Nothobranchius furzeri: one gene and its partners. The protein of the gene in region 7 interacts with the protein of the main gene of each other region in a biochemical or structural test. Links are inferred from orthologs where the notes say so. Each region holds a gene or a part of one and is shown on either strand. Other genes may lie near its edges. The genes, in order: gab2, pdk1, foxo4, nedd4a, badb, ccdc88ab and akt1.

Evidence for each region.
Region 1: of the proteins of akt1 (region 7) and gab2, one has a biochemical effect on the other in vitro, tested with the Homo sapiens proteins (2 studies listed by BioGRID). The link is inferred for Nothobranchius furzeri from reciprocal best matches to the Homo sapiens genes AKT1 and GAB2.
Region 2: of the proteins of akt1 (region 7) and pdk1, one has a biochemical effect on the other in vitro, tested with the Homo sapiens proteins (3 studies listed by BioGRID and IntAct, with this or other methods). The link is inferred for Nothobranchius furzeri from reciprocal best matches to the Homo sapiens genes AKT1 and PDK1.
Region 3: the proteins of akt1 (region 7) and foxo4 form a complex in vitro, tested with the Homo sapiens proteins (2 studies listed by BioGRID, with this or other methods). The link is inferred for Nothobranchius furzeri from reciprocal best matches to the Homo sapiens genes AKT1 and FOXO4.
Region 4: of the proteins of akt1 (region 7) and nedd4a, one has a biochemical effect on the other in vitro, tested with the Homo sapiens proteins (3 studies listed by BioGRID, with this or other methods). The link is inferred for Nothobranchius furzeri from reciprocal best matches to the Homo sapiens genes AKT1 and NEDD4.
Region 5: of the proteins of akt1 (region 7) and badb, one has a biochemical effect on the other in vitro, tested with the Homo sapiens proteins (6 studies listed by BioGRID, with this or other methods). The link is inferred for Nothobranchius furzeri from reciprocal best matches to the Homo sapiens genes AKT1 and BAD.
Region 6: the proteins of akt1 (region 7) and ccdc88ab form a complex in vitro, tested with the Homo sapiens proteins (2 studies listed by BioGRID, with this or other methods). The link is inferred for Nothobranchius furzeri from reciprocal best matches to the Homo sapiens genes AKT1 and CCDC88A.

What each region holds. Positions count from the first base shown.
Region 1 is NC_091753.1:44,951,004-44,954,890, forward strand, and holds part of gab2 (GRB2-associated-binding protein 2), read left to right. Parts: intron 1-131; coding exon 132-229; intron 230-355; coding exon 356-635; intron 636-740; coding exon 741-831; intron 832-937; coding exon 938-1,034; intron 1,035-1,119; coding exon 1,120-1,242; intron 1,243-3,887. UniProt on the Homo sapiens protein: Adapter protein which acts downstream of several membrane receptors including cytokine, antigen, hormone, cell matrix and growth factor receptors to regulate multiple signaling pathways.
Region 2 is NC_091754.1:20,884,781-20,887,548, reverse strand, and holds the end of pdk1 (pyruvate dehydrogenase (acetyl-transferring) kinase isozyme 1, mitochondrial), read right to left. Parts: intron 1,544-2,768; coding exon 1,430-1,543; intron 1,358-1,429; coding exon 1,217-1,357; 3' UTR 517-1,216; downstream 1-516. UniProt on the Homo sapiens protein: Kinase that plays a key role in regulation of glucose and fatty acid metabolism and homeostasis via phosphorylation of the pyruvate dehydrogenase subunits PDHA1 and PDHA2.
Region 3 is NC_091741.1:84,783,001-84,787,514, reverse strand, and holds foxo4 (forkhead box protein O4), read right to left. Parts: upstream 3,116-4,514; 5' UTR 2,967-3,115; coding exon 2,523-2,966; intron 2,394-2,522; coding exon 1,005-2,393; 3' UTR 975-1,004; intron 530-974; 3' UTR 321-529; downstream 1-320. UniProt on the Homo sapiens protein: Transcription factor involved in the regulation of the insulin signaling pathway. Binds to insulin-response elements (IREs) and can activate transcription of IGFBP1.
Region 4 is NC_091749.1:60,023,836-60,028,418, reverse strand, and holds the start of nedd4a (E3 ubiquitin-protein ligase NEDD4), read right to left. Parts: upstream 3,082-4,583; 5' UTR 2,875-3,081; coding exon 1,585-2,874; intron 1-1,584. UniProt on the Homo sapiens protein: E3 ubiquitin-protein ligase which accepts ubiquitin from an E2 ubiquitin-conjugating enzyme in the form of a thioester and then directly transfers the ubiquitin to targeted substrates. Specifically ubiquitinates 'Lys-63' in target proteins.
Region 5 is NC_091754.1:60,854,543-60,859,084, reverse strand, and holds the start of badb (BCL2 associated agonist of cell death b), read right to left. Parts: upstream 2,987-4,542; 5' UTR 2,963-2,986; intron 1-2,962. UniProt on the Homo sapiens protein: Promotes cell death. Successfully competes for the binding to Bcl-X(L), Bcl-2 and Bcl-W, thereby affecting the level of heterodimerization of these proteins with BAX. Can reverse the death repressor activity of Bcl-X(L), but not that of Bcl-2.
Region 6 is NC_091752.1:26,346,621-26,350,507, reverse strand, and holds part of ccdc88ab (girdin), read right to left. Parts: intron 3,765-3,887; coding exon 3,562-3,764; intron 3,382-3,561; coding exon 3,334-3,381; intron 1-3,333. UniProt on the Homo sapiens protein: Bifunctional modulator of guanine nucleotide-binding proteins (G proteins). Acts as a non-receptor guanine nucleotide exchange factor which binds to and activates guanine nucleotide-binding protein G(i) alpha subunits.
Region 7 is NC_091758.1:33,902,972-33,906,841, forward strand, and holds the end of akt1 (RAC-alpha serine/threonine-protein kinase), read right to left. Parts: intron 3,758-3,870; coding exon 3,670-3,757; intron 3,476-3,669; coding exon 3,373-3,475; intron 2,476-3,372; coding exon 2,396-2,475; 3' UTR 714-2,395; downstream 1-713. UniProt on the Homo sapiens protein: AKT1 is one of 3 closely related serine/threonine-protein kinases (AKT1, AKT2 and AKT3) called the AKT kinase, and which regulate many processes including metabolism, proliferation, cell survival, growth and angiogenesis.

The DNA of each region.
Region 1 (3,887 bases), on a different chromosome or scaffold from region 7:
CTTTACTTTCCATGTTCACAGAAGGTCTTCTGCTTTACACTATTTTTGATCCATCTGTGGTATTTGTCTTGGAAGCTGATGTAATTTATGGCTTGGTAAGAAATATCGTCCTTCCTTTTCAACCATCACAGGTTCCTCCTTTGAAATCAACAACCACCATCGACTGTTTCATTTCAACAACTCAGGCCAGTCTGTGGAGTCGGTCAACGATGGGTTCAGCTCATACCTGGTGGGTAGGAATGGCCATTCAAATCTGTGGAAACAGATGAAAACCAAGATTCTGTTTGGATTTTCTCAGTTTGTTTACATTATTGAGCACAGAGAGTCATGTGACTTGTGTGTGTTTTGACATCAGAGGGCCCACACCCCTCTGACTCGCTCAGACAGCGGTAACTCCGAAGACAACTACGTGCCCATGAATCCTGGTTCCTCGCCGCTCAGTGCTGCCCAGGCCGACAGTCCTAAGAATATCTACATTCCCATGAGCCCCGGGCCACATCACTTTGATTTCCCAGGGTTCTCTGCAACATTACCTGCCCGCAAGGGGAGCAGTGCCTCCTTGTGTCACCGGCCCGGTCGTCTCAGCGATGTAACACCACCTCCAATCAACCGCAACCTCAAACCTAACAGGAAATGTGAGCGTTTAGACACTTAACTTTTCATTTAATTGTTGATTTCTAGAGTTTTATTTTTTTTCTGTGGATTGTTTGGTTAAAGATGTCTGGTCTGATTTTCTCCAGCAAAGCCAACGCCTCTCGATTTGAAGAACAATGGGATCATTGACGAGCTGCCGTATAAGAGCCCCGTCACCATGTCATGGACTCGGCCCATGTGAGCTTTTAACCAGACACTTGTCACAGATTTCCCAACGTTACTCACACATAATTGTTACAGCATTTTTCTGATGTTTCTCACAGTCTTTTGCGTTTTTCCTTAGGCCTGCGATTAACTCCTCCCAGCACTGTCGACCCATCTCCACTCAAAGCATCACCAGCACCGACTCAGCAGACAGCGAGGAGAATTATGTACCTATGGTAAGTTCCAGTTTGAGGACGGGAGGTGGATTTTTGATTGGCTTGTTTACGTCATTGTGTGACCGAAACCTTCTTTTAACATCAGCAAAATCCAGCATCTACCTCCCCAGTCGTGAGTGGGACCAGCAGCCCGGCCCCTCGGAAGTGTGGGAACGTGGACTACTTGGCCCTGGACTTCCAGCCTGGCTCACCCAGTCCACATAGAAAAGTGAGCAAATAGGTTTAACTTAGTTTATCCATTTTTTATTATGGCACTTTTTGTACTCACAAGAATCCTAATCCTATATGGAGCCTAAGTCTCCTCCCTTTCCAGTCGGCTCATGGGTCCCCGGAAGAACAAAAAAATTTAATGCAAGTCAACGGAGCTAAAAGAGCTATCTTCTAATCCGCTTTGCCTTACGCCCTGGATCACATATATGTTGTACTTCCATTTAAATAAAAAGTAATTGAACCATGCCTGTCACGTACTGTGAGATTTATCAGCTTATAAAAGTTCGTAATTAGCATGACTACACACCAGAGATCAGTAAGTCACATATGTGATATCACCACAGAATCTCCTCTGCCCTAGCATAGCTGCTACGTACCACATGACCAGATTTATGGAGGTTCTTTCCTCCTGAAGGAAGGATTTGAAGTTTGCTGAACTTACAGCCATTTCCCTGTTTTTCTCCATGTCTGGTTCGATTACATCACTTTTATGAAGCGCATTTGTAGTACTGGACTTATTTTCACACAAAACCTAAAATAGCGTTTCACCCCATTCGAAAATATGCGCTTTCATGTTCTCAAAATGCTTTTTTTTTTAATTCACGGACATCATGTGTGAAATCCATGGCACATAAGCGGAATTAGAAAATAGCGTTTATTCATTCTACTGGGGACCCATGGTCCGGAAGCAGATGGGCGTGACTCAGGCCTAGTCCACACGTAGCCGGGTTTTTTAAAAACGAATATCCGCCCCTCCAAAAACGTGCATCCACACCACCACGTTTTAAAAACAAACTCTGTCCACACGTACCCGGATAAATACGTTGTTAAGGAGTGGACATGCTAGACCTGTAGGCGGCAGTACTTCCCCCGTTCTTAACCTCATCCTTCGTCTGTGGTCTTCCGCAAGGAGCAGTAATTCCGCTTGCAAAAACAAACAAGCAGAAAGCGCTTGGACAACTGATAAAGCGAGCGCAGCTCTGAGGGCATCCATGCTGTCGGCTAGTGTAAACACAGGTCACACACGTGATGTCAGCATTTTTTTGTCACGGAAAGTGACGTTGCGGACCTTAAAACTCCGGTTTTGTCCGTCCACACGCAGACACTCAAAACGGAGAAAACGCAGATCTTCACTTTGGCCGGAGTTTTTAAAAAGATCCGTTTTCGTGTGAAAAAACTCCGTTTTCGTGTGGATGACAGGCCAAAACGTAGAAAAATATCTACGTTTTGGCAGATCCCCAGCTACGTGTGGACAGGGCCTCAGGCTCCCTATAGGGCATTGATTTAGGCCCTGTCCACACGTAGCCGGGGATCTGCCAAAACGTAGATATTTTTCTACGTTTTGGCCTGTCATCCACACGAAAACGGAGTTTTTTCACACGAAAACGGATCTTTTTAAAAACTCCGGCCAAAGTGAAGATCTGCGTTTTCTCCGTTTTGGGTGTCTGCGTGTGGACGGACATAACCGGAGTTTTAAGGTCCGCAACGTCACTTTCCGCGACCAAAAAATGTTGACATCATGTGTGCGACCTGTGTTTACACTAGCCGACATCATGGAAGCCCTCAGAGCTGCGCTCTGTCACTGCCTGATCCATCAATTGTCCAAGCGCTTTTTGCTTGTTTGTTTTTGCAAACGGAGTTACTGCTCCTTACGGAAGACCACAGACGAAGGACGAGGTTAAGAACGGGGGAAGTACTGCCGCCTACAGGTCTGGCATGTCCTTAACAACGTATTTATCCGGGTACGTGTGGACAGAGTTTGCTTTTAAAACGTGGTGGTGTGGATGCACGTTTTTGGAGGGGCGGATATTCGTTTTTAAAAAACCCGGCTACGTGTGGACTAGGTCTTAAACTAATAAGTTAAAACAACCAAACTTCATCGCATTTAGATTAAATTCCATGATCAAATCTAAATATTAACACATAAAACTACAGATGGAGCTAAATCCAATTATAAATGTGGAAATTTCAGACTGAATATTTCTTTACCATTAATTTAGACAGCTTCAAAACAGATTTAGTCTACCAAAAATAGCAAAGGCTAAGAGATCCCCTATGTAATGTCTCAAACTCATTGAAGAATTGATTAGTGTGGATCATGTCAATGTGCAAGTCAAACACAGACGGGAACATTAATAATGGGCTCTCAATCTTATCATTAAAGGAACTCTGAGACCTTAAATAAGGAATCTCTTCACCCTGCTTTTATTTTGGTAGGTTTGTTGAATTATTTAATGGCATTTTGAATTTAAATGCAAGTTGGTCAGTAATTGTAATTTCATAAATAAAGATTAAAAGTGGCTAAATAAGGTTATAGTTTTTTTTACTGTATTATTTATATGAGGTGTCCTATATAACATTGCTACTTAATGACTCAGCTTTTGAAAAACTTAGGTAACTCTTCACAATAAGGGCCCCTTTGTTATATATATATATGTATATATATATATATATACATACATATATACATATACATATATATATATATACATATATCAGAATCAGAATCAGAAGAATCAGAAGAATTTTATTGCCAGCGCTCCTTTCAGAGCGTAGGAACTTGACTCCACAGTACAACCTGACCAAGGTTACACACACACACACACATATAGACAAGACAGATACAGGCAGACCATGAGAGCA
Region 2 (2,768 bases), on a different chromosome or scaffold from region 7:
ACTATTTGTCTTTTAATTTTTGAGGGGCCACAAAGTTTTAAATGTATAAATGAGTTTTATACATGTGCCTGTTAACTGCATTTTCTTGTTTGTTTACTTAAAATCTATTGTTTTATATCTAAATTTTCTACTAAGTAGAATAGTGTGGCTGGTAGGGATGAGGTGAGCTGCTGCGTCCGACCCAGACTCCATCACGGAGGTGGAACCACGATGCACGGCGTTGACGCATCACGGGACTTTACGGCAGAAGGATGAGCCAATCACGAGGACTCGTTTGAGTCTGGAGCTGCTGAGGCCCAGCAGTGAAAACTCAACTCACACTCTTCCTCGGAATGGCTACATCGTCTGAACAGAATATGAAATGTTGGACCGCAAGAAAACTCTTAAAATCAGAAGTGATTCTTGGTACACAGTGTAAAAAAAATAAATCTCATTTTCACTTGTGGCTTTTTTCCCCCAACTTCATACAACAGGTGCAATTTTTTGCACAGATTTATCAGATGCAGAAAGAAAATGAAACATTTGATATATTTTATTCAAGCATTTCCTTTTGGAAACCTCTATTCCACTTGCATAGTTTTTTTTACCCCAAAAATCCAAATATTAGAACAATCTAAATAGATCTACTGAGTTAAGTGCTTACAGTGCAACAACAAACTAAGACTTGTTCAGTCCTAATGCCACCACACTGGGACCAGTTAGCATTACATTAGGAAGAAAAGCTCGGAAAAGTCAAGGATGTAACATGACAGTCTGGATTTTTGTTCCTTCTAGTTATCCAGTTGCTTTTGTAAAAAAAAATAAAAATACGACCACGTAACTATAATATAGTTTTTGACCACATCAAGCAACGTTTTAAATTTTTCCTTTTGCTTTTCAAAATAACGAAGCAGAAAAGAAACTTAGAATAAAAGTTGCACACTTGTAACATAAACTAGGATCTTGTAACACCTTAAAGATGTACAGTTGTGCAAATGGTCCTGAACTACCAGAATTTAGCCTTTTCTCATTACACCCAGTTTGTTCAGCCTGGACAAATTTAAACTAATATTGGTTGTTCAGCAGCTCACGGTGGTTGTTTTCTTAATGATTAGTTGAAAACTAATACAACATATGGCACTAAGTTTGTTCTGTGATCTTTTTTTAAAACACCAGTTAAATACTCATTCCTTAACGAGAAGGTTCCCTAAACGCCTCGTCAAGAAGCCTTTAGGCTTTAAAAACTACGAAACGTGGTCATGTCCTTGGGCTCTTTGCTCGGGACGCACCAGTCATCGGCCTCGTGGATGGTCTTGTAGTGCTTCCAGGCAGACTTGTTGTACACGGGGAGTCGCTCGATAGATTCTGTGGACAGTGCCTGAAATAAGCAAAAGAAAAAAGTTAAGTTTTCATCCTACAAGGAACTTCTAACATGGTGAAACTCTGTTACCCGTATGTAGATCACAGCATCAGTTCCATAACCCTCCAGAGAGTATAGCTTCAGATCCCCCTGAAAGTAACGAGCATACAGCCTAGAGATGGGCAGGCCGTGTCCATAACCAGCCTGGGAAAACACAAACCATGATTCAGCAGAATCTTATAGTCAGTCCTGGTGTAGGTTGGCTCAGCTACATTTAGTTTACTGAACAGATGTTTTCCCTCCATTTTTAGGGGTAGTTTTTATGTTTTTTGACCAAATAGGAAAACTGGACCAAAGATGAACACCCAAACAAAATAATTATCTCACTGAAGCCTCACACCACGTGCAGACTGAAATCCGTACAGCTTCCGGATGGACTACCATTTACACCGACTGGGAAGTTGCTTGCGAGTTCACACGAGAACAACTAACCTGAGTAAAGTTGCCCCCCCCACACACACACACACACACCTTGTTCAAATTTTGTGTCAAACATTTGTGCTGCAAATATTTTTGCACTGCTTTCATTGAAAAGATAAATAAAAGTTTCCAAAGGTTATCCTAGGTCAACCCCCTGCACCCAAGCTGTGCTGATTTGATGCCAATGGAGGGGTTAAAGGTGAATACAATTGCTAATGTAGTCTACGTGACCACTTTTCCCTGTCCTTCAGGTCACATATCAGTTCAGTCACTCGGTCAGCTTACTTTCATCTTAGGAATATTTATCGCCTGCTCTGTTCACTAAAAAATTTTTGATTGATTTGCTTAATAGGGGGGGGGGGGGGGACCTTTGAAAACCTTTACTAATATCTAAAATGAAAGTAGCACAAACAATGTTGCAGCATCAAAAATGCAGCACAAATGTTTGACACCAATTTTGTTAGATTTTGGGGGGGCAACCTCACTCAGCTATTGTGTAGAGAGGAGCTGGTAAACAAAAGCCACAGCCGTCTTCTCAAACTGATATCAAGGGCATTAATTACACAAGCCGACAGACAGTTGCAACAATGGTTTTATTTTTAAATAAACCAGATGCACCTTGCTGCCATACATCTCACTTTCTGTACGTTTCATGTAATTTCAACTTCTTGACGATCCGCAAGCAGCGTCCCAAAAAACAAATGGAAACCTTTCAGGACGATTCTGCAGCTCCGGATCGCAGTCCAATCAGAGCATGCACACCGGCTGAGGTGGGTTCAGATCCGTAGGTTTCCGCATGGATTCTAATTGTTTCAGACACCGCATGCAAATTGTCACAAAGTTAAAAACATAAGCCAGACAAAAACTGACATGTTTAACGAATGTGCATCAGTTTTCATTTAAAATAAAACCCGTGTTGCATTATTTTTGCCAGCTTCAGTTTTATGAC
Region 3 (4,514 bases), on a different chromosome or scaffold from region 7:
TTATGTTGTAAATGTAAAGGTGGTCCGTGATCACAGCACGCAGAGTGTCCAACGTTCCTCCAGGCGCCTCCTATCAGGGCGGTGCACCTTGTTCAGCCGATCTCACAGCGTGTGGTCTGACGATCCGTGCAGAATGTCGCAGCAAAACTGGCCGATTCTCCAAAGAACAAAAAATCATAATAATGTAAAAAGTTCAACACCAGCTCTAAATAAATCTGGGGACACCTTGTCTAAAGCTACTCTGATGAACTCCCAGGACAGAGGAGATGATGACTTGTCTTTCCACTCCAAAAATACGCTCTCACGCACATCCTTTAAAAAATCAGTTCAGATTGTAAGAAAAGAAAAAATAAACTGTGCATAGTAGCCTGAATCTCCTCACTGTCCTACGCGTGTCTTGGCACGTGACATGGGTCAGGCCCGGGTTTTGCTGTTTTAACATCCGAGAGAGAAAGTTTGCGTTTTATGGGAAAGCATTTTGAGCCTGCTGGGAGGAGGGGCGCCCCGTTGTTGAGCAAGAGGTCAGATCCTGCAAGACAAGGAGATCGATACAAGAGTCATTAATGTTGATGCTGATTGGCTCGTCCTGGGAACGGAAGCGATGCACTTAAAAGCTTGATTACATCCGTGTACGCAGATGTGTGTGAAAATGTAGCACGCTCTCACTTCTTTAATAAATCACGTAGACTCAAATGACTTAAATAGTAAATTCACAGTTACAGAAAACAAAAAGGCTAACCGTCATTTGGGACAATAAAAGCTGTAAATATCTGCTTACGATTAATTGCAGATTAACTATTTAACAAATTTTCAGCTCTGAAATGATAACCTGACCGCATGGCCTCTTACAATATGAGTATCTACACGGTTTCTCTGTTTAACCTCACTTTACCACTAAATAATGTTGCTTATTAGCTCATTAAAGGCCCAAAGTGTCCCTGAGACATGATCAACAGAGAGAGAAGTCCATGTACCTGGCTAGTTTCGTGTGTTGAGCTGCAGAATTAGCTGGGTACCCAGCTGTGAGCCGGCCCCTGTGTGGACGGGCCGGTGTAACCTTGACCTCCGGGCAGGATGGGGTCAAAGTTGAAATCCATGCCATCTCCATCCATGAGGTCACTGTTAATAATGTAGTCCACATCACAATCCAGGTTTTCTGTGAACATTTCTATGTCTATGTCTGTAGGCAGACGGTCCTGGCCTGTGGGGAAGCTGAGTGGAGCTGGAAACTGGTTCATAGTAGAGAGCGATGATGGGTCCTGAGACATACCTGAGAGGATCATCCCTATGCCCATCTGAGAGTGATGCTGCTGCTGATGGTGGTGATGGAGGTGATGCTGCTGAGGTTGCATCTGAGGCTGCAGCGCTATTGGTGCCACAGTGCTGGGCTCCAGCCCTTTACCCACCTGTAGCTGGTTGGAGTTGGGCCTCAAACCCACCACAGATGAGCCCAAACCCATTGGACCCATCCCTCCAGAATTAGGCATGAGAGAGTCCACCTGCGCCATCAAAATATCACTTGGAGGAGGGGAGTCTGAGGTGAGGAGCGCCTCCAGACTGGAAGGGACATGGCTGCAGTAATGGCTGCTTCCACAAGAGACGGGGCTGGGCATGGGGTTGAAGATGGAGTTGCTGAAGGTCGCTGGCTCTTTGCTCGGTCCACACAGAGAGACAGAGGCCTGGGTCCCGGTGTTGGCAGGGGCCTGGGAGACGCTGTTTGGCTGCAGCTGATGGAAGGAGGAGAAGTTGGAAGCCCGTGGCAGCAGGGTGGAGGCAGAAGGTAGTGGAGTGGGAGGTGCTGGTGGGGCTGTGCTGGGGCTGGCCCCTCCTTGCTGCCCAGTCATCAGGGTCAGGTTGTCGATCAGATCCAGCTCCTCCATGACGGTCTCTGTGAGGGTGGGGGTCAAGCTGCTGCTGGTGTATCTCCCCAGCAAACTGTCCTCAGGCAGGTTATCGTCATCCTCTTGGACAGGAGCGATGGGGGACAGACGTCCACTCAGGGTGCTGGCATTAGAACTTGTGCGGGGGCGGAAAGTTGTCCACATGTCCCCATCGTCCAGGCTGCCGCGGGACGAGGGGCTGCTACTGTTGACGCCCCATTTAGGAAACTGCTGGGATGAGTTAGGGCTGTCGGCACCGGCTGAACCGGTGCTGCCATCGCCTGGCAGCCCCCCTCCTGTGCCGGCCGCTCCCGCCTGCTTTTTGGTCTGCTTGGCTCTCATGCGGCTCTTCAGCAGTTTGCTGCTGTTGTCCATGGAGACAGCTCGGCGACGAGGAGCTTTTCCAGTCTTCCCCCCTTCAGGATTCAGCATCCACCAGGAGCTTTTACCTGTTGATTCATTGTGTACCCTCAAGAACTTGTTGTGGAGTGATAAATTGTGGCGAATCGAGTTCTGAAAACAGACAAAATAGAAAATTATCAAATCCAACAGCTGCAGGTAGGAAGATTATATTTACAGATTAATCAAAAAAATTTACATATAAAAAAGCTGAAAACACTTGTTTTTAACATTTGAACTCACCTTCCAGCCGGCTGAGCTGTTGCTGTCTCCTTTATCTCTGAAGTAAGGCACAGTTTTCACCATCCAATCATAGATCTGAGCCAGGGTCAGCCTCTTTTCCGGTGAGTTCTCGATAGCCTGGCTTATCAGATCAGCGTAGCTCTGGTTCCCCCAAGCGTTACGCCGGGATGATCCTTTGCGGGGCGTCGCTCCAGCCCCGCCCACACCGGCTGTAGCCACGCCCTCAGCCGCTGCCGCCGCTTTCTCCGGCTCAGACGTGATTTGCTGCGGATCGGGCTTGTCCTCATCGGCAGGCGGGGTCCCGGCGGCTGACTCCGTGCCGTCCGTCCCCTCCGGTTTGACAACAGAGATGTCGGGTCTCGGGAGAGGCCACGTGCAGGAGCGGGGTCTGCTCTGTGGCTCAAAATCTGGGTCGATGGGGGGCATCGACGAGTCGTCCATCATGGCGGTTCCCTGAACTTTTCTTTCACCAAGTTTCTCTTTAAAAAATGACCCCTAACAGTTTAAAAGTAGATCAAAGTACGAAGAGAAACTTTTTGATCCACAAAAAAAAAAAACCACAACTGGGGGTGTCTACCGAGAAGTCTAGAAGAGACAATAATCTGGACACACCAATGGCCTTGGTTAATCCTCAGATTGGAGATTAGGGAACCCAAATAATCTCCTTAATAGTAACTATTATAAACCTTCCGATTTATACAGAGTGAAGGAGGACTGTGACTGGAGTCCTTTTGTTTCAATGAAACAAACAAAAGTGGCGGAGTGATTTGGGGCACCTAAACATCTGGATCTACAGATGTTTTGGCTCACATGGAAAGCAATAAAAAACAATCAAATGTCAACTAAAACAAAACAATGCCATTCCACTTGAAAAACACTCAATTTACGTCTTAGATGTTTAAAATAATAATATTGAAACGAGTTGAAACAGAATTATTATTCAATATCCAATAATGTTTCTTTTTACAAAAGTACAAAACTATAAAGACTCACGCAGGAATTAGTTTGATACAAAGGAGCTTCTGAGGAGAACCACCGCATTTGTAAACAAACAAACAAAAAACATCCAAACTTTCTTTAACAAGGCACAACTACAATAAAAAAGTCCATTGTACTACACCCAGCTAACAGCCACAAGTCAGTGCGGTTGAATTAAGAGTTAAGAGTAAAAATGTCTGTCCGCTGACTGTCAGAGGAGCTACTTTCTGCTGCCCCCAAAAAAGTACAAACAGTTCTGAGACGCTCCTCGCCGCCTCTGCGGCCAGGCTAGGAGAGAAACACCCAGACTAGATCCAACGAGAAAAAAAACGCAGGTAGAGCGCTTTAGTGTCCAGTTTTATAGTGTTTACTGTGGTAAAAATGTCGAGAGGGTAGAAAAGTAGCATAAAAAGTCCGTGCCTCAAGTCTGCACGATCCGCCACATTGCGGCCAGGCGCGTGTCACCATCTGCCATGTTTCTCTACTCTCCTGCCGCGGCACACGATGTGTACAAAACTCCCCAGAAGGAGGCACGGATTTCGGTCAAATTTTCCTTCTTTAGCTCTGTGAACTCGATAAATACAGCTCACAGTCTGTTCCCGGGTGCTGCGCGAGGCTGGTCGGCCCGCAACTCTGTCGGCTCCCCCAGTCGCTGCACTTTGAAAAAAACAGCACAACCACCGTAACGTTAGCTGCTTAAGCTCCTGCTACTCCAGAGTTTACAATCCGTGGAAAAGTCGGCGAGAATCCTCACAAAACGTCATCCAAGTAGCCGTTTCCAATCGGTGGTGATTTTTCAAGTTTTCTTTCGTAGTACCTATCCAAATATTAGCTTATTCACTCTCTTTTTGACTTGTTTTGCTTTGTTTTGTTTTGACTCGAGGCGAAGACTCCCTTCTGACGTCTGTTTACCACTGTCAGGCAACGTGATCTGCGCATGCGCGGATAGAACTCTGGGAAACCGAGTCACTCATGTGACAGACGTAAACAGCAGACCAGGGAGGCAACATGTAC
Region 4 (4,583 bases), on a different chromosome or scaffold from region 7:
AAAACACACAGCATGCTACTATCGCCGATTACATTCTTACAAATTACGAATTAGAAACGTACCAAATGATTACATTTGGAGTCTAATAAAATGTAAAAACTGCCATTAATCAAATAAGTACAGACAGATATATTAGTAAAGCTAGAAAACCGTAATAGACTTTAACTCCACAGAGTTTTGGCTAGCAGCTATGAATGTAACTGAACTACAGTAGCTCTGCATGGACAAGACGTCAAAAACTATAAGCACAAAAGACTTCAATAAACGGGACACATTTCTTCCCTGCAAATAAATTTTCACAGGTGATGCCAATACCTATGCGACTTCAAGGGATGTGCTCCTGGCTGCAAAGCATTGCACCTTCGAATACAAGATTTTGTCTTGGCTTGTGAGTGTTTATGGATGTGTAGACAAATAAACTTGTTGATATGATATGTAGATACATATGTAGATACATAAACTTGTTTATATTCAGTACAAGTTACATTTTTTTTCTGCTTCCGTTAGTTGAAAAATATGAGAAAAACCCCTTGAGAAAATAATCGTGAATTCAATCACAATTGCAGTATTGAAGAAAACATCGCAATTAAGATTGTTTTCCAAAATCGTTCAGCCCTAGTAAAAGGATATGAAAACAAACCTTTGCAGATTTAAAAAGTCTTAAGTGGACCCTCTTTGACAACCTGCTAAACGCAGGAAGAGACTGACAGCTGATATTTCACAAACATTGCTTGGTGGGGGGACCCACAGGGATGGTAGCACGCCACCCGTTTACTTGGAAACGAGCACACACACACACACACACATGTACGCAGATAGCCGACATGACTGTGCACCACTCTAGTATCATGCTGTTAAATTTGAATCCACAGGTTTTGGGCAGTGCTACAGACCAGCAGACTATCCGGAGTCAGGGGGAATATTTCAGAGGCACCTTATTTATATCGGCATGGGGCACTGCGCTTCCCAACTCTATAAATAGCCATGGTAAATACTTAACCTGATCACTTATAGTGCTAACAGAATAATAAAAGTGGAAAACTCTACTGAAATTGTGTTTTCACACTGATGAATGCTGGTATTCACAAGATGGAGAACCTGTCTTTCTAATTTACACATTTCTTGGTATCCAATATGCAGATGGATTTACTGTAATGTAACTGAACACCTCTGAATGTTTGTCCACACACAGCTTGTTAAATACATGACTTAAAGTTAAAGGGCTTCTCAGTTACTAGAAGTCTTGTAACCAGTCTAATGCTAAAGTCAAAGCAAAAACAGTTTAAGACTTTAGGGTGACATTATTCCAGTGTACTGGAACTTAGAAATTTTCATTGATGAAAACAACCAATCAGTTAAAAGCTGCAAGTTTACAACAAACAATTAATCAAGCGGTGTTTATTTATACTACTCATTAGAAACTCTCGATATGTCTGAACATTGATGCAGGAGAGGCTGAACCAATGACGGAGTGGAATCTACTCAAACTTGTTTGACAACAGTGGCAGCAGGTCTAGAGTGCTGACAAAAGGCTACTAGGTGATCAATATAAAGCCTCTAAAGAGTTAGAAATGTCATACTCACCTTGTCATTTTGAACTGAACCCTTTACTGCATTACTTTCTTTGTGATTCTTAACATCTGTAACAGAGCTTCGCAACCTTCCGGGGTAGCATGGGGATAAATGAATGTGCACATGTGGGGAGCGAGGGCTGCAGAGCTCGGGGTTAGAAACGTGGCATGAAATTCCAGTGTTAGGGTAGGGCACCTCGAGGGAAAAGCTCCTCTGTATGGCACGATGCTTTTCACCAAGCCCGATTTGATCTTTTCCAGACAAACCGCTTTTATCGTTTTTCTCTGATGGCTTGGATGAAGAAAACAAACAAGCAGAGGTACTGCGATACAGTTTTCTGTGATTGATGTTTTCCCTTTGAGATAGGTGAACTTGGTGGTGAGCTTCGTTGGCTGCAACCATTTCCACAACTCCCTTGGTAGATACTGTTGGTTTCTGGTGGGCAAAATGCAGCAGCACGCTGCTAGAGTGAAGATTAGGTCTGTCTGAGGCTGACGGAAGCTCCATCAACGCGCTATTGCCTTCTGATTTGCATTTTGTTCCATCCTGTAGAGGAATATTAAAGTGGACCATGTGTTTCATGTCCCTAAGTTCAGATGAGCAGCTTCGTTTTGATGTTTGGTGTCCACTTGCTACAGTGGAGCTCGCCCCTACTTTCTCTTGGGAGAAATCACTGAAAGACGTCTGAAGATGTGACTGATTAGTACCCTTTGGCAGTGGGTAAGCAAACGGAGTCACAGCACATCCTGGGGAAGCAGGTGGAGTGCTACATGGGCTCTTCGGAATAATAATCAGTGAGGAGCATCGTCGCAGCGGGACCTTGGACTTGCGACAAAGCAGAGTCCTCTCCTGGATTGTCCTGTGCTTTTCTGGAAGCTCTGGCTCAAAGATGCTGCTGCTGCTACAGTACCCCGCATCGCTGGCCATGCTGCTGTTGCATGAACCTCCGTCAGAGCCGGTACCTGCTCCAACTTCACAAGCCCCTGGTTCTCCATCTTCTAAACTGCAATCCAGTTTTCCACCGAGTTTCCCACAGGGCTGCAGCGCAATTTGCAAAACGCTCTTCTTATTACACCCTCCAGCGTGAACCCTGGGTATGAACACTGAAGAGCACTGACTGCTGGCAACGTCTGGTGACAGAGGAGTCACCTTCAAGTGAACAGAGCTGTGCGCCAGATTCTCCGCTGGGCCATGAGCCGACAGACTGACTCCACTCTCTTCACCTTGGCTGCTGAGGCTTTCCGACAGGGGGTCCGTGTTGCTTCTCCTTGACGCAAAATGCAAACGGAGCTGATGTGACATTTGTTCAACTCACTAATCCCTGTAGGGCTGGCGAGACGTACATGATCAAACTTGCTGGTGGAAAAAAAAAACGAGAGCAAACGCAACAGCTCCATGCGCTGTGATCACAATCATTAGTAGCTGCGCATTGCCAAAATAGCTCTGGTGACAAGCTACATTCCTCTCCAGGCTGATCTCAGCTTTTAGTCAGAGCAGGCCAGTGGTTCTGTTTGGAGACATGACCCAAACACATGACCTTTCAAACCGAACCATTAGCCCCTTTAAAATTCCTCGGCCCAATAAAGAAGAACAAAGCTACTCTAAAGATAATTGGAAAACCTTTTCCTCAGCTTTGCATTCTAATAAAAGCCTAGCGTAACTCGACTGTGCCTCCAAAAAAAAAAACAGACAAATTAGCATTTTTCTTCTGAAAATAAAGAAAAACAAACAAAAGCATGACAGTCCAACGTGCTGCATTTTAGACTGAAGCTCTGGTAAAGTGTCACATCTGCGTTGGCCCATTCGCTCAGGACTCCTGCTGCTGCTATGCTACTAATGTTTCTGCTGCTCTGTGCCCCACAAATAGTTTTACCCATTGCTATTGAATTACAGGAAATCAAACGAGTGAATGTCAACAAAATTCTGCATCAAACCAAGGAGCAGGTTGCAAAAGCACATTTCAGACAGTAAATCACAGAGCTCATTAGGATAACACAAGAGCTCCTTTTAGTGTTTTAGCAGTGACTTTAAATATTTCCTGCAGGGAACAGGACAGCTGCTGCCTAATGAGAAAAACGTGAGGTTTTAAGAAAAAATAAATGTCATGAAACTGGTTATCTGATGCCTCATGTAACAGTCAATGCTGCTCTTATTACTTCTCCATAGATGTTGACAGTTTAATTTATTAACAGTGAGGCTGCCTGACCTATTTCAGGGCATTACTTTGCTTCCAAAGTATAATAATGGAAGTCACGGCCGGGATAAGGACATGACTCACTGCAGGACGCTGTGGAACTCCTAACCTATTTTTTAAACCAACAGAACCGTGTGACAGTAATGCAATGGCCATACAATATCAAATGCTTATATAGAATGACGTCATGCGGCAATAATACAGAGACACGTCCCTTAAGAACTCCATGAGTTTGGTATCAAAGTGAACAAAAACAAAGGCGGTATTTAATCAACTTTTCAGAGAACCAGTCTGCTGTGTAGTCACTACAAGCTGAGTCAGAGAGGTGTGGTTCGAGTAAAGACTGGAAAAATCAATCAGCAGGTGCAGCAGGTGGATGAACTAGTTTCTTAAGCTGTGTTTATTTACTTTTAGGTATTTAACCAACCTCTCAGTCACTGTGTAACAGTTACTGTTTGTATGCAGCATCTAATCTGGAATATGCTACATCGATGGTTTAGTTCTTGAATGTTTTTAAAACAGTTCAAGTTTTTAATCCTCTACAGTACAGACTATTTTGAACAATTTAGGGGAAAATTCTACTAATTTAATAATAAACAACAGGTTAAAAGAGTGAGAAGGCAATTTGTAAAAGTCCAGTTTGTACATCAATGTTCTCAGTTTGGTTCCATTTCCGAGTGGCTGAAGGAGCTGCTTGATCTGTGTTGATCTTTGTTCTACAGCAAATCTTTTCCTTATTACTACTATGTAAAGATTTTTAGTATATTTTTCCTTGAAAGTGTTTAATCTACCCTTTTTGTCCTGAATAATAGTGTAG
Region 5 (4,542 bases), on a different chromosome or scaffold from region 7:
GGACTTACACAACTTGAGATGGCTTACAAAACAACAACAATGGCATTGAAAACCTACCTTGAAACAACAGACGATGCCCTACTGATCCTCGTTTGTCAACATGAAGCTCGAAAGAAGCTCTACTCTGTTACAAAAGAAGCTATAAGATATGCACAGGAACTAAACATCCCAGAGGTGGCAAGAATAGAGAAAGAAACAGTGACAAGCTTTGCCAAGAGGACCAGAAGGGAGGCAAAGAAATGGGCACAAAAAAGGATGAGAGAAACATGGGAGGAAAAACCAATGCATGGACAATACCCCTTGAGAGTAAAAAAAGCAGATGTAGAACAAGATCATACTCATCAGTGGCTACGCAGTGCAGGACTGAAGGCAGAAACTGAAGGATTGTTGATAGCAGCACAAGACCAGAGCCTGTCAACGAGATCATACCACCACAAGATCATTAAAGACGGAACAGACCCCATGTGTAGAATGTGCAGCCAATATGAAGAAACCATTGACCACATTGTCTCAGGCTGCCCCACTCTAGCCAGAACTGAGTACATCCACAGACATGACAGGGCAGCAAGCTATATCCACTGGAAGATTTGCAAACATTTCCATCTACCAGCTGCAGATAAGTGGTATGAACACCAACCACCAACAGTGACTGAAAACAACAACATCGCAGTGTTGTGGGACATGCCAATCAACACAGACAGAGAAATCATGGCCAACAGACCAGACATAGTCATCAAAAACAAAGAAGAGAAGACCTGCCTCATGATTGATATGACCATCCCATCTGAAAAAAATGTCACCACCAAGGAGCTTGAAAAGCTATCAAAGTACAAGGATCTGGAAATAGAAGTCACAAGAATGTGGGGGATGAAGACAGCAACAATACCCGTCGTAGTGGGTGCACTTGGCCTCATCAAGAAGGGACTGGAAAAGAGAACAAAACAGATTCCTGGAAACCCAACAGTCCAAGAAATCCAGAAGATTGTTCTTCTCGGAAGTGCCCACATCATCAGAAGGACGCTTTCCATAAACTAACCCTGAAACTGCCTTAGAAGCATGGATTGATTCTGGCACTTCAGTGAAAGCATACAAATATACAAAAAATATATAATAACAATAATAAGAATTTAATAATAATAATAATAACAATAAAATAATATTAATAATAATATTTATAATAATAATAATAAAATTTTTTTTTAAATAATAATAATAATAATAATAAAACCAATAATAATAATAATAGTAGTAGTAGTAGTAGTAACGTCATTATAGAAGAGACTATCTGTGCAATGTAGCCTAATAAAAGAAAGGCAAGTATGTAAAGCTAAATTAGTATTTTACTATTGAAAGTCGATGTTTGTCCAATAAAAATTAAGTAGGAAATGCAAATGAAAGTAATGTTTTTAAAAGGAGTTTTATTCTACCTGCACCAGTAATGGGAGGAGTACTTGATTTTTTTTTTACTTGAGTAAAAGTGCAGATGAACAGGTGAAGAAAATAACCTATGGAAAAGTGGAAGTATCCAAGAAGATAATGATTTAAGTAAAAGTATTAAAGTATGCACTTTCAAAAGTACTCAAAAGTAGAAAAGCAAAAGTCTTCATCTAACAGTTAAAGCTGCTTTCCGGAGTTTTCCTCTTTCAGAAACGATGTATGATTTGTCAGAAATCCGTAAAAGTGATTATCTTATCATGTACTGTGATCAAATATAAGCAATACATCTTTTTTTTCTTTGCTAAGCACGCCCCCTGCCTCTGTGCAATAGGAAACCGAGCACCGACCAGAACTAACCAATAGCGTTAGACTACCGCTTAGACGCTTCACATTTAAGGAATACCTCGGCTGACGCAGAGTTGATGAACTTTTCATCGACAAGCAAGTCTCTAAAATATAAATATATGAAAACACACGACATGAGAATAATACTCGTAAAACAACGTGTTTTAGCTCCGTTTGTCGGCTACAGAAGCACATTTATGAACAGAAACGTGAAGTCGCCATCTTAAATAAAACAAAGGAATGGCGTTTTTGTGTGATACGCTCGTCAGCCACTAGATGGTGCCATCGGATAAGAGAAACACTCCGGAAAGAAGCTTTAAATAAGCAACAGCACTAGCTCAGGAGGTAGAGCAGGTTCTAATTGGAAGGTTGCAGGTTCGATCCCGGCTCCGACCAGAGAATGCTGCTGTTGTGTCCTTGGGCAAGACACTTAACGCACCGTGCCTGCTGGTGGTGGTCAGTGGTTGTCAGCCTCACCTCTGTCAGAGAGCCCCAGGGCAGCTGTGGCTACACTGTAGCTCATCCCCACCAGCGTATGGATGTGTGAATGACTGATTGTGTTGTGAAGAGCCTTGGGGGGTTGTAGAACCCTAAAGGCGCTACACAAATACAGGCCATTTACCATTTACCGTGTGTGGTGTGTGTGTAGAAGTGTTCTGTGGAACCAAGGGGGAGGGGCTAATAAAATTACCTTTGCAACTCCAGTACGGCGTGGTAGTAGAGTACAGGTGGGGGTCGGACAAAGCAAAGTAAAAAGTAGGCCTCAATAAAATTAGTTACATGAAGTACAGATACAGAAAAAATGTACTTAAGTACAGTAATGAACTACTTATAGTTACTTAAGTAAAAGTGGGAGTATCCAAGTACAATGCAAAGTAATTGTACTTCATTACATTCCATGACTGTTCTGTAAAACTGGTTCCTAGTTAGGAATGTAGTCGAAGTGATGAGTCATCCTGAACGCTTTAGTGATGAGGATGTCGGACCTGTAAGCAGGAGGCGGGAAGTGAAGAAGCTAACCAGAGCGATCATGTAAGCGCCTGGGTACCAGCAACGGTCTCAGAACCCACAGAAGGAAGCAGAAGCCGGAGACGACCCGAGGAAACCTCAGGGAGAAGAAGCAGAAAACACGAGAACAAAATAACCCAAAGACACACGAACTCTGAACACCGAAACAAACCTTTGATGCATTCTGATCATCTGATGGAGTTTCGGTCAAATCTCCAAAATGACTTGATGCTCGATGTCAGAGCTTGGAGTGTGTGATGTGAATGACTCTCACACACAGAAAAATGACTCAATATCTGTGGAATCCTCTGAGTTAGAAGCATTTTCATCTTGTTCTGTTGACTGTGGCGGCCATCTTGAACAGGGCAGGACTGGATGATGGTCTAAAGCTGCTAATCTCACTGCATCGCTGCACATAATTTACTATAAATCTGTCATGGCCCTGCTAACGCTGCTGTTTCCTCTCCACCTCTCACGAGAAACGTAGGTTATCCATCCTCTTCTACACTTTAGGTGGGACAGTGATGAGAAGAGGAACAACTTCACAAACACAATTTGGTTTTTCCATCAAGAGGAAGTTCACATTTTCAGTGCTTCCTCTGTGGTTAACTTATGTCATCACTAAGGTCACCATTCCCACCCATCACCCCGCTCTCTTCCCCCCTTTCTCACGGTTTCACTTCCACCTCTCATCTCTCCATCCTTTCTCTGTTCCTTGTATCTGGGCCACTGTCTGAACTAGTTCACCACCCGTTTGCTGGCCAATGGCGTCGTTATTTCTGCTCAATTAATGATATTTTTGTCTGTTTTTGGGTGCGTTCAAATTCTAAATTCATAACCAAGAATAAGGAGGCGTTAAATCTGACTGTAGAGCTTCACAGTGAGTTCCTGTTTCAGCGATTTCACACAAAAACAACAGGAAAGTTTGAAAGTACCGAAGCGTATTTCTATTAAACTATAATGAAAACTCTGCGATGGACTGGCTCTCTGTCCAGGGTGTACCCCGCCTGATTGCCCATTGACCGCTGGAGATAGGCACCAGCCCCCCGCGACCCTACGTGGACAAAGTGGGTTCAGAAAATGGATGGATGGATATAATGAAAACTTTGGTCAGCAAAACTGAGGAGATGATGTAACATCAGCAGAACAATCCACACCTACATAAAACTAATAACAGCAAGGCTGTGATGGATGGCTGTCGCCACGGGAACAAGGTGCAGGAACTCATTTCACTACGATGTATTAGTGCACGTCTTCAAGTGTTCAGCATCTTATCAGCTCAAATCATCGGCAAACATGCAGGCATTTTAAACCCAAAGGTCATGTGCTAACACTGTGTGTGTGTGTGTGTGTGTGTGTGTGTGTGTGTGTGTGTGTGTGTGTGTGTGTGTGTGTGTGTGTGTAAGTGTAGAAGGTCAGAGCTCCTTTCCAGAGTGGGAAAGAAAACACTGGAGATGCTGGTGATGAATTGCTCTTTAGGACCATTTTCCGTGCAGCTGTTTTCTCCAGGCTTTATCCAACTGACACACCGGATTCAAGCATGTGCATGGTGCGTGCACACACCGTGCACGGTGTGTGCACGCTGCAGTTTGTATTTCTGAGCAGAACAAGAGTTGGAGATCATAAATAAGACAAGCTTTTACCCAACAGCCGAGTCTGAGAGTTTGTCTGAAATACACATTTGTTATTAATGTTCTCTGAGCTGCATCTACCGATGGAGACACCAGAGGATCCAACCGTTTTTCCGTGCGC
Region 6 (3,887 bases), on a different chromosome or scaffold from region 7:
AATTCTGATAACCTAAATAACTAATTGAGTTTTGCAAAAAAAAATGTATTGAAAATTAAGGACAGCCTTTATAAAGACGCGCGCACACGCGCGCGCACACACACACACACACACACACACACACACACACACACACACACACACACACACACACACACACACACACACACACACACACACACACAAATGGAAACAATCAAATGGTTTTGATCCTAAAAGTCTGAACAGCATTTAAAACTTCACGTATTACACACAACAACACACAACTACAACTAGATGAGACACACAATATTAAAGGGTGCAACCAGGAGAGAGGAAGAGGGGTTTAAAGGCATCAGGGAAGACTGAGCATTCCCAACAAACAAAAACTCTGTAACTTGCTAACCCTACATTAATAAACATTAAAGCAGCAATCCAGAGTCTCCCCCTTTCAGGAATTATTATTTTTTAGGAATCTGTAAACGTGATAGGATGAAGCCTCTTTCACACCAAATGCAGAACAAATGTGGTCCAGTTTCTATACCGCTTCTAATCAGAGCATTCACATCGGTTGCGGTGTGGATTCAGATGAAATTTCATGTGGACTGTCGTGTAGTTAAAGAAATGACATGAGTCAGACAGGAAATGAGATGTGGAACAGCGAGGTACAGCCGGTGTATTTTTCAAAATAAAACTTGTGTCGCATTATTTTAGCTGGATATTAATGACAGGGTTATCAATTAAGTGTATGATAGTCCACGCTATTGTTACAGGTATATTTGTTAATGTATTGTGGCAATTTTTTTTATCATTTGGTGCTCTTGTAGGAGCAGTTTTCCATTTACGTTCAGCACACAAACTGCAGTCAGTGTGAAAGGCCGTCCGTTCGGAAAACGGGCCGCTTCCTTACCGCATTTGGTGTGAAAGACACTTTATCCTGTACTGAAAGGCAATATGTCAATTTGGTTTTGCCAAACCCACCCCCTATCCCATAGAGCCCCCTCGTACAATTTAATTTGAGCTCCGCCAAGCATTTGCAAATAGCATCAGACATCCGCTTACGTACAGATGTCAACCACAAAGCGTGTATATATATATATATATATATATGTGTAAACCCCCCAAGGCGCTTTACAAGGCTCATTATATGTATATATATATATATACATATATATATATATATATACATATATATATATATATATATATATACATATATATATATATATATATATATATGTGTGTGTGTGTGTGTGTGTGTGTGTATAAATGGTAAATGGCCTGTATTTGATATAGCACCTTCTAGAGTATATACTAATATATATATATATATATATATATATAAACACAGTATCACCTGTAAGTCGCTTTGGACAAAAGTGTCTGCTGAATGCATGAATATAAACCGCGCTGACTAGAGGTGAATGTTTACGAGCAAGCAGCGTTGCTTCCAGCTGTATTAACAGAAGTAGGGAGAGGGGCTTAAAGGTGTAATACATGTTGTATCCTCTAGATGGTGCCCTTGTAGAAAAAACTCTGGATTTCTGTTTTAATAACAGTTCTGTTATCTTGCTGAATGGAAATCAAAATATTCTATGAAAACCTGAATATTTTATGTGTTTAGAGAATAAACCCGTTTTCTTTTTACCGTCCTAGAAAGCAATCCTGGATGGACCAGACTTGCACCATTTAATAGCTTTGATGCTATGATAGAGCGTGTTGCTGTCTTTTCTACAGTTGAGCTGCACCGATCTGCAGGTGTACACGCTGGTGAGCTTGGATGTGTAAGCTAGGGGACTTTAAAAGAAACAGACCTGGAATGCAGTTTGGCTTAAATGAGTTTCAGTGTTTGAAATACACGAAGTGCACTTGATTCAGCTTGAATGTTGATCCCCTCAACAAACAGCTAGTTAACCATTAACGTCCAATCACAAAACCTTTCTTACAGTTATTTACATAATAGCGGTTAAAACTAATCTAAACTGATTTCTTTGATGTTGTTGCACATTTAATTAAGTTTACATTGTGCTCTTTTTTATTTATAAAACACTTTCTTTCATCTTAATCTTCATTTTATGGTTTCTTCGAGGGAATTATTTAAATTCAACTTAAAACACTTAACATATCCAACATAACAAGAGAGCATGAATAGAAAACAGCCTAAAGATAATAACTAATAATTGTGGATATTAAAGGTGTTCCTACATAATCGTCAAAAGCCTTCTCATAATTCTCAGATTTTACATTTTTGCTGATGTTTCAAATGTATTTTGGTGATATTTGTGTGCAAATGACACATTTCTCAAAAAGACTAAAAATGAAACACGTTTGCTTCCGACTCTTCACTAAAACCTTTTATTTTGAAGGCTGGGGTGTGTCCAGAAAGGCTGGGAGACCATAGGCCCCCCCTGCAAAAAGACTGGCCACCCCAAAAACTGAGACAGTAAAACATCTAGAACATCGAATCAAATATAATAATATGACATTTAGAAGTTTTTTATATGTTTTAGTATTTTCAGCATAAAGTAGAGCTTGGTTCATGATCCAAAACATTTCACAAATTCAGATAATGAGACTATTGGGTTCAAACAAAACAACCAACCAGGCCGGGCATTTCATTCCTAGTTAAAGATATTTCATTGATATTTTTCATTCTTTCATTGATATTAGGCTTTAAACCTATATCTGTAGTTGACAAATATTTAAACAATTACAAATTACCACAAAGTTAAAATGCACTAAAATGCTAGCCTGAAAATTAATTTACTTAATCCAAAGTGCGCCCTCCTCCCTTTTCTAAAATAATTCTGACTTTACAATGTCAGAGAAAGTCCTGATTTCATTGTAATAGATTTATGCATTTATTTATGGGAAAATGTCAGATAATTATTGATAAAAGTGCGCCACTGGTATTGGTTACTTTATTTTCATTTATAGTATCCAATTAGCTTATGATTAATTAGTTGTAATTTCATTTAAAAAAATTCTCAAAGATATGAGCTATATACATGTGCCACCCTTGTCCGAACTTGGGCCCCTACCTGGCCACCCCAAAAAAAGTTTTCTAGACACACCACTGTCTAAAATGGTGACATTTCTTAAAGTGATTCAGAAAACCTACATTTTATAGAGATAAGGTTGCAGGAATCAAGCGCAGCTTTGTGTTTCAAACATGAAATGCATCCATTTTTAAAACCGAGTCTGTGATTTTACCTCCGTTTCTCTTTGCTGTGCAGCTCAGCTGTAACCTCTACTACAGTAGAGAGACACAGACAATGAACTCACAAAAACATGCCCCAAGAGCCATGACAGTTGGGTCATTAGCCCCGCCCACCCTCCCCATCCGCAGCATACCATTGGAGGAGCCCTGCACTTGGGCATGGCACTGCTGCCCTCTCCTCCCTTTGCACGGAGATAAAGATGGAAAGGAGCAGTTAGGGAACAAACGACCACTCAGACACCCACAAAACATCCGTCGGTCTCTGATCATGAACATGGTTTAATTTTAATCATCTATAAAGTGTAAATAATTGTGAATTTTAGGTCAACATCTGTGCGTGTGCCCGTTTTCCGTGCACTCACTGCTGCTCCTCTTCTGCGTGAGCGGGTCATCCAGCGAGTTGGAGCCAGAGCCTATAGAAGAGCTGTCCTGGCTGTCCTGAGGGAACGGCAAGAAAACGTCTCCGAACTCGGACCGAGACGGAGTCAGCGTGAGAGAACGCATCCTCTCTCGGCTCTTTGGCTTGATCAGCTTCTTCATCTTCAGGGTGATCCAGTTCCCACGCCTTGGACGAAAAAGACCAGGCAGAGAGAGGAGAAAAGACCACGAAGGAAAAAGAAAGAAGCCGCAGCAATAAAAAAAACAATATTGAACAAATCCCGACTGTTATTCATGTTTAAGGGTTGCC
Region 7 (3,870 bases):
GCTGTGTATTGTAGCCGGCCAAAGGAGCAGACTGTGAGCTCTGCCTGTCAACATCTGCTCCAGAGACTGTACCATCTGGCCTATGGGCCCCAAGGGATGCATTGCTGCTCATCTTCAGAGCAGCTGCAGAGGCCCGGACGTGAACCTGAGCAGCCTTGCAGAGGCAGAGAAATCAGCCAAGACACATTCAGAACCGCTGAGCGTTGGAAGATTCGTCTCGCACACATGGCTTGTTTTATCAGGAGGAAAGAAAAGCATGATCTACAACTCATATCATTTTTTTATTAAAGAAACCAACTCTGTTTCAGATAAATCAAGTGGAAAATTAATGTGGGATTTGTAAGTCTGAAAAAGGTGTAAAGCAGAAAACTTTTAGATTAATTGAGAAAACAAGAAAAAGTGATTTTAAATGTTATGAACCCTTTAAATGGTAGATCCTATTTTAGTTACTGTACCCTTTTAAAACTTGCACTCAACTACACTGGAAAAAAACTACTAAACAAAAAAATAAGCAGATGTTGGAATAAAGTTATAGTATTTTAGCTTATTGCTACGTGAATATTATAAATATACTTTATTTTATTAACCATTGTTTCTCCAAAATGATAAATAAAAAAATAATAAAAAAATGACTATTGTTTTGGAAGTTAAAAGATTAATCTAAATAATATCTCAGACTTGAGTTAAATGCAATTTTAAATACACAAAGCATAGCAACTGATAAGATTTTTTTATTTCATCAATTAAAAGAAACAAGTAAAAACTGTGTACAAAGTTTATATTATTTGTTTGCTAAAGCTGGTGTCCTCACTCAGGAATACAGACCGGGCAGGTACAAAAAAAAACATGGAGTAAAAAATACAAAACAAATTTCCCTATTTGAAAAGGTGACCGCGAATGGGGAGTGTGCATAGGAATAAGTCACAAACAGGTTCAAGAGAGTCAAAAGTTTGCAGACAATTGAACTAAATATATCATAAAAAAGTTACATTCAATGACGAATTATGTACTTTTGCTAATGATTATCAGTCATTTAAAAAGAAACACTGAAGTGCTTTTGGAAACTCTTGACAGAACTTCCAAAGAGTCAGTTTTAGCCTGTTTAAAAAGGAAGAAATGATGGAAAACACATGAATTCATAATATAAAAGACGCTAATTTAGTCATTACCAACCATAAATTACACATAGGGGTCCAAATACAATCATTTTTGGGCAGCAAAGTGCATGTCATTGGCACAGTGAAACTCTTTATCCATGTTGGTCTCATATAAATAACTCAAAAGCTCACAAAGGGACAGAAGTCCCCTCAAAACAAATCAAAGACTGTTTTCCCCTGAAGTTAAGTTTGAATGGAAAGTTTTCCTAAAGAAAAGTCAGAGACCTCACTGAGGTTGCAGCATTTGCACCGGGTGGGAAACACCCAATAGCGTACTGTACATGGAGGAAAAACCCAAACATATAAAGGAGAGGTTTTGAGGGGGTCGTTGAGTGACCCAGGCGGTGGGAAACAAAGAGCACAGCATCCAGATAAACAAAGGCATCAGGAACAATAAGGACTTACTTCGGAAGGGAGCTTTTTATTGGCCTGAACAGGACACCCTAGGTCTCTCATTGATGTGCAAAGAGTTTACAAAAATAAATTCACTGCAGGCCATCTAATTACCCAAACAATTAGCATGTCTGCCACTTTTTGCATCATCATATTGCACAACAGATTTATCAGACCCATCATGGTGTGGCATGGCAATACGGCGTATCGGCTTAGCCTCGGGGCGGCAGGATCACAAATCCTTTCCAGATAAAGGCGTTTCAGTCTCAGAGGAGAATTAGGCATGTGTTACAACACATAGGTATGCAGGAAGATTAACTTTATTTGATACGGTACATTCACTTACGAAGCCAAAAAAATAATAATAAAAAAAAAGGTCTGAATGGACTCTGGAAACATGGATGAATCAACCGCTCAACAAGCAACACACTCTCTGCTCACATGGTGTTTATGGTCCACAGCGTGCCTACGATCTATCTCAAAAGGTTGACATTTTATTGTAAGTGAGGAATATAGACGACACACCCTTTTCTATTGAGTTATAGAAGTACCCCAATTTGTGCATGGCTGCATTTCCCCATTCATTATGGTGTAAGGATGCCTGCTCAGTACACAGCATAACAACCAGGAAATGCAGGGTAGTGTTATCTTCACGGTCAGTCTTCAGAGGCCATGAAGAACGAGCACGGTTATCTTTGTTTCGTCTTGCACTTCCTCCTTCCTGTGGCTCGCAGACCGACACATCCAACAACGGCGCTCTGCAGACACTGCAGGGAGGACGAGGCAGAGAGAGCGCAGTCAGGGTGGCGGCGGCGGTTGATGGTGGGACCAGAGGAATGTCTCGTTTAGGCCGTTCCGCTGGCCGAGTAGGAAAACTGAGGGAAGTGGGGCCGTCGCTCACTGTCAAAAGACTCCATACTGTCATCTGAGGAGGGAGAGGATAAAGAATCATTTAATCTTCTATTTAGGTATCCTTCATTGTAGTTAGCATTTATTGACTATTACTTTCAGTATATGTTTGAATCAAGCAGAGGTTTATTTGACAATTTCTCAGTAAATATGTTTTCACTCTCAACAGGGGTGTATAATGGCAATTAATCAGTCAAAGTTCATTTGCAGTGCACTCTACACAACCAAAGAGACAACCAAAGTTCATACTAAAGACACTAAAATCCAAATTACAGTAAAATTATTATAAAACCAAATTAAAACAGACCATAAACCAAAAGTATGGGGACCCCTAGGGATTAAAAGGCTGATGTTTTGTTTTAAGTCCAACTTTGAAGTCTGACTGATCTGTGATGGCACGGTGAGAGAGACGAGGTTTGACTCGACCTGTTCAGCAGGTCACGAAGCTTTGCAGAAACCTGTTAATCACCTGTTCACAACAATCAGGAGCGTTGTGGCAGGGAGAAAACTAAAACATGCTGGATAGCGGCTCGGCTGGACCAGGATGGGGCACCCCTGATTTTTTTAGTACTATAAACTGTCAATAGCACTACATTTCCAGAAGGGGGTGCACCAATATCACAAGAGCTAGGTATTGTCTTCGTTTGCATTTAAAAAGCTGAACATTATCAACTCAATTCTCAGCTCTCAAGAACAGAAGATAAAACTAGTCCAAGAGGAGGAAACTGATGACGACTGAATGAGGAGTTGAATTTCTCCAAAAGGCCTGTGATTTTTAGAAAAAATAAAAAAAATTCCTAAAGGATTCATAGTTGCTTTGAAACATTGAATTAACAGCATTTCCCCAACTCTAATAATCTAAATGAACCGTCATGTTTGTTTGGTGCTCAGAAGCACAGGAGGCTGACGCTACCTTGTCCAGGCGGCGTGATAGTGATGGTTTGTCCCGTGAACTCCTCGTCAAAATATCGTGTGTCCGTCTCCGAGGTAACTTGGGGCTTAAACGGCGAGACCAGCTGTTGGAGAGGAGAGAAGACACAATTATATCTGAGCATCCCTGCCATCAGTCAGGGGGGTAACAGTTGCCACGATGCTGACAGTGTATATGGTTTCTAGATGATGCTGCTGCTGTTTCAAGGCGCACAACCTTATTGATCCCTGAGGAGGTGACAGCTGCTGGCTTTATTTATAGAAACCAGTCAAAACCCACCTTCTTCTCATAAACATCTTGCCAATTAATCCCAGCAAAGAACCTGTGCTGCATGATTTCCTTAGCGTCGTCGGGACCGCCGCCTAACCTGGAAGCACAAGTTCAAAAAGTTTAAAGCTGCACATTTAGAGTAGAAAAAATGGTTAATTTTAGAAATATCTTCTGAATGGAGTGTTCGTGTGTACGGTTACCGCCGCCCTG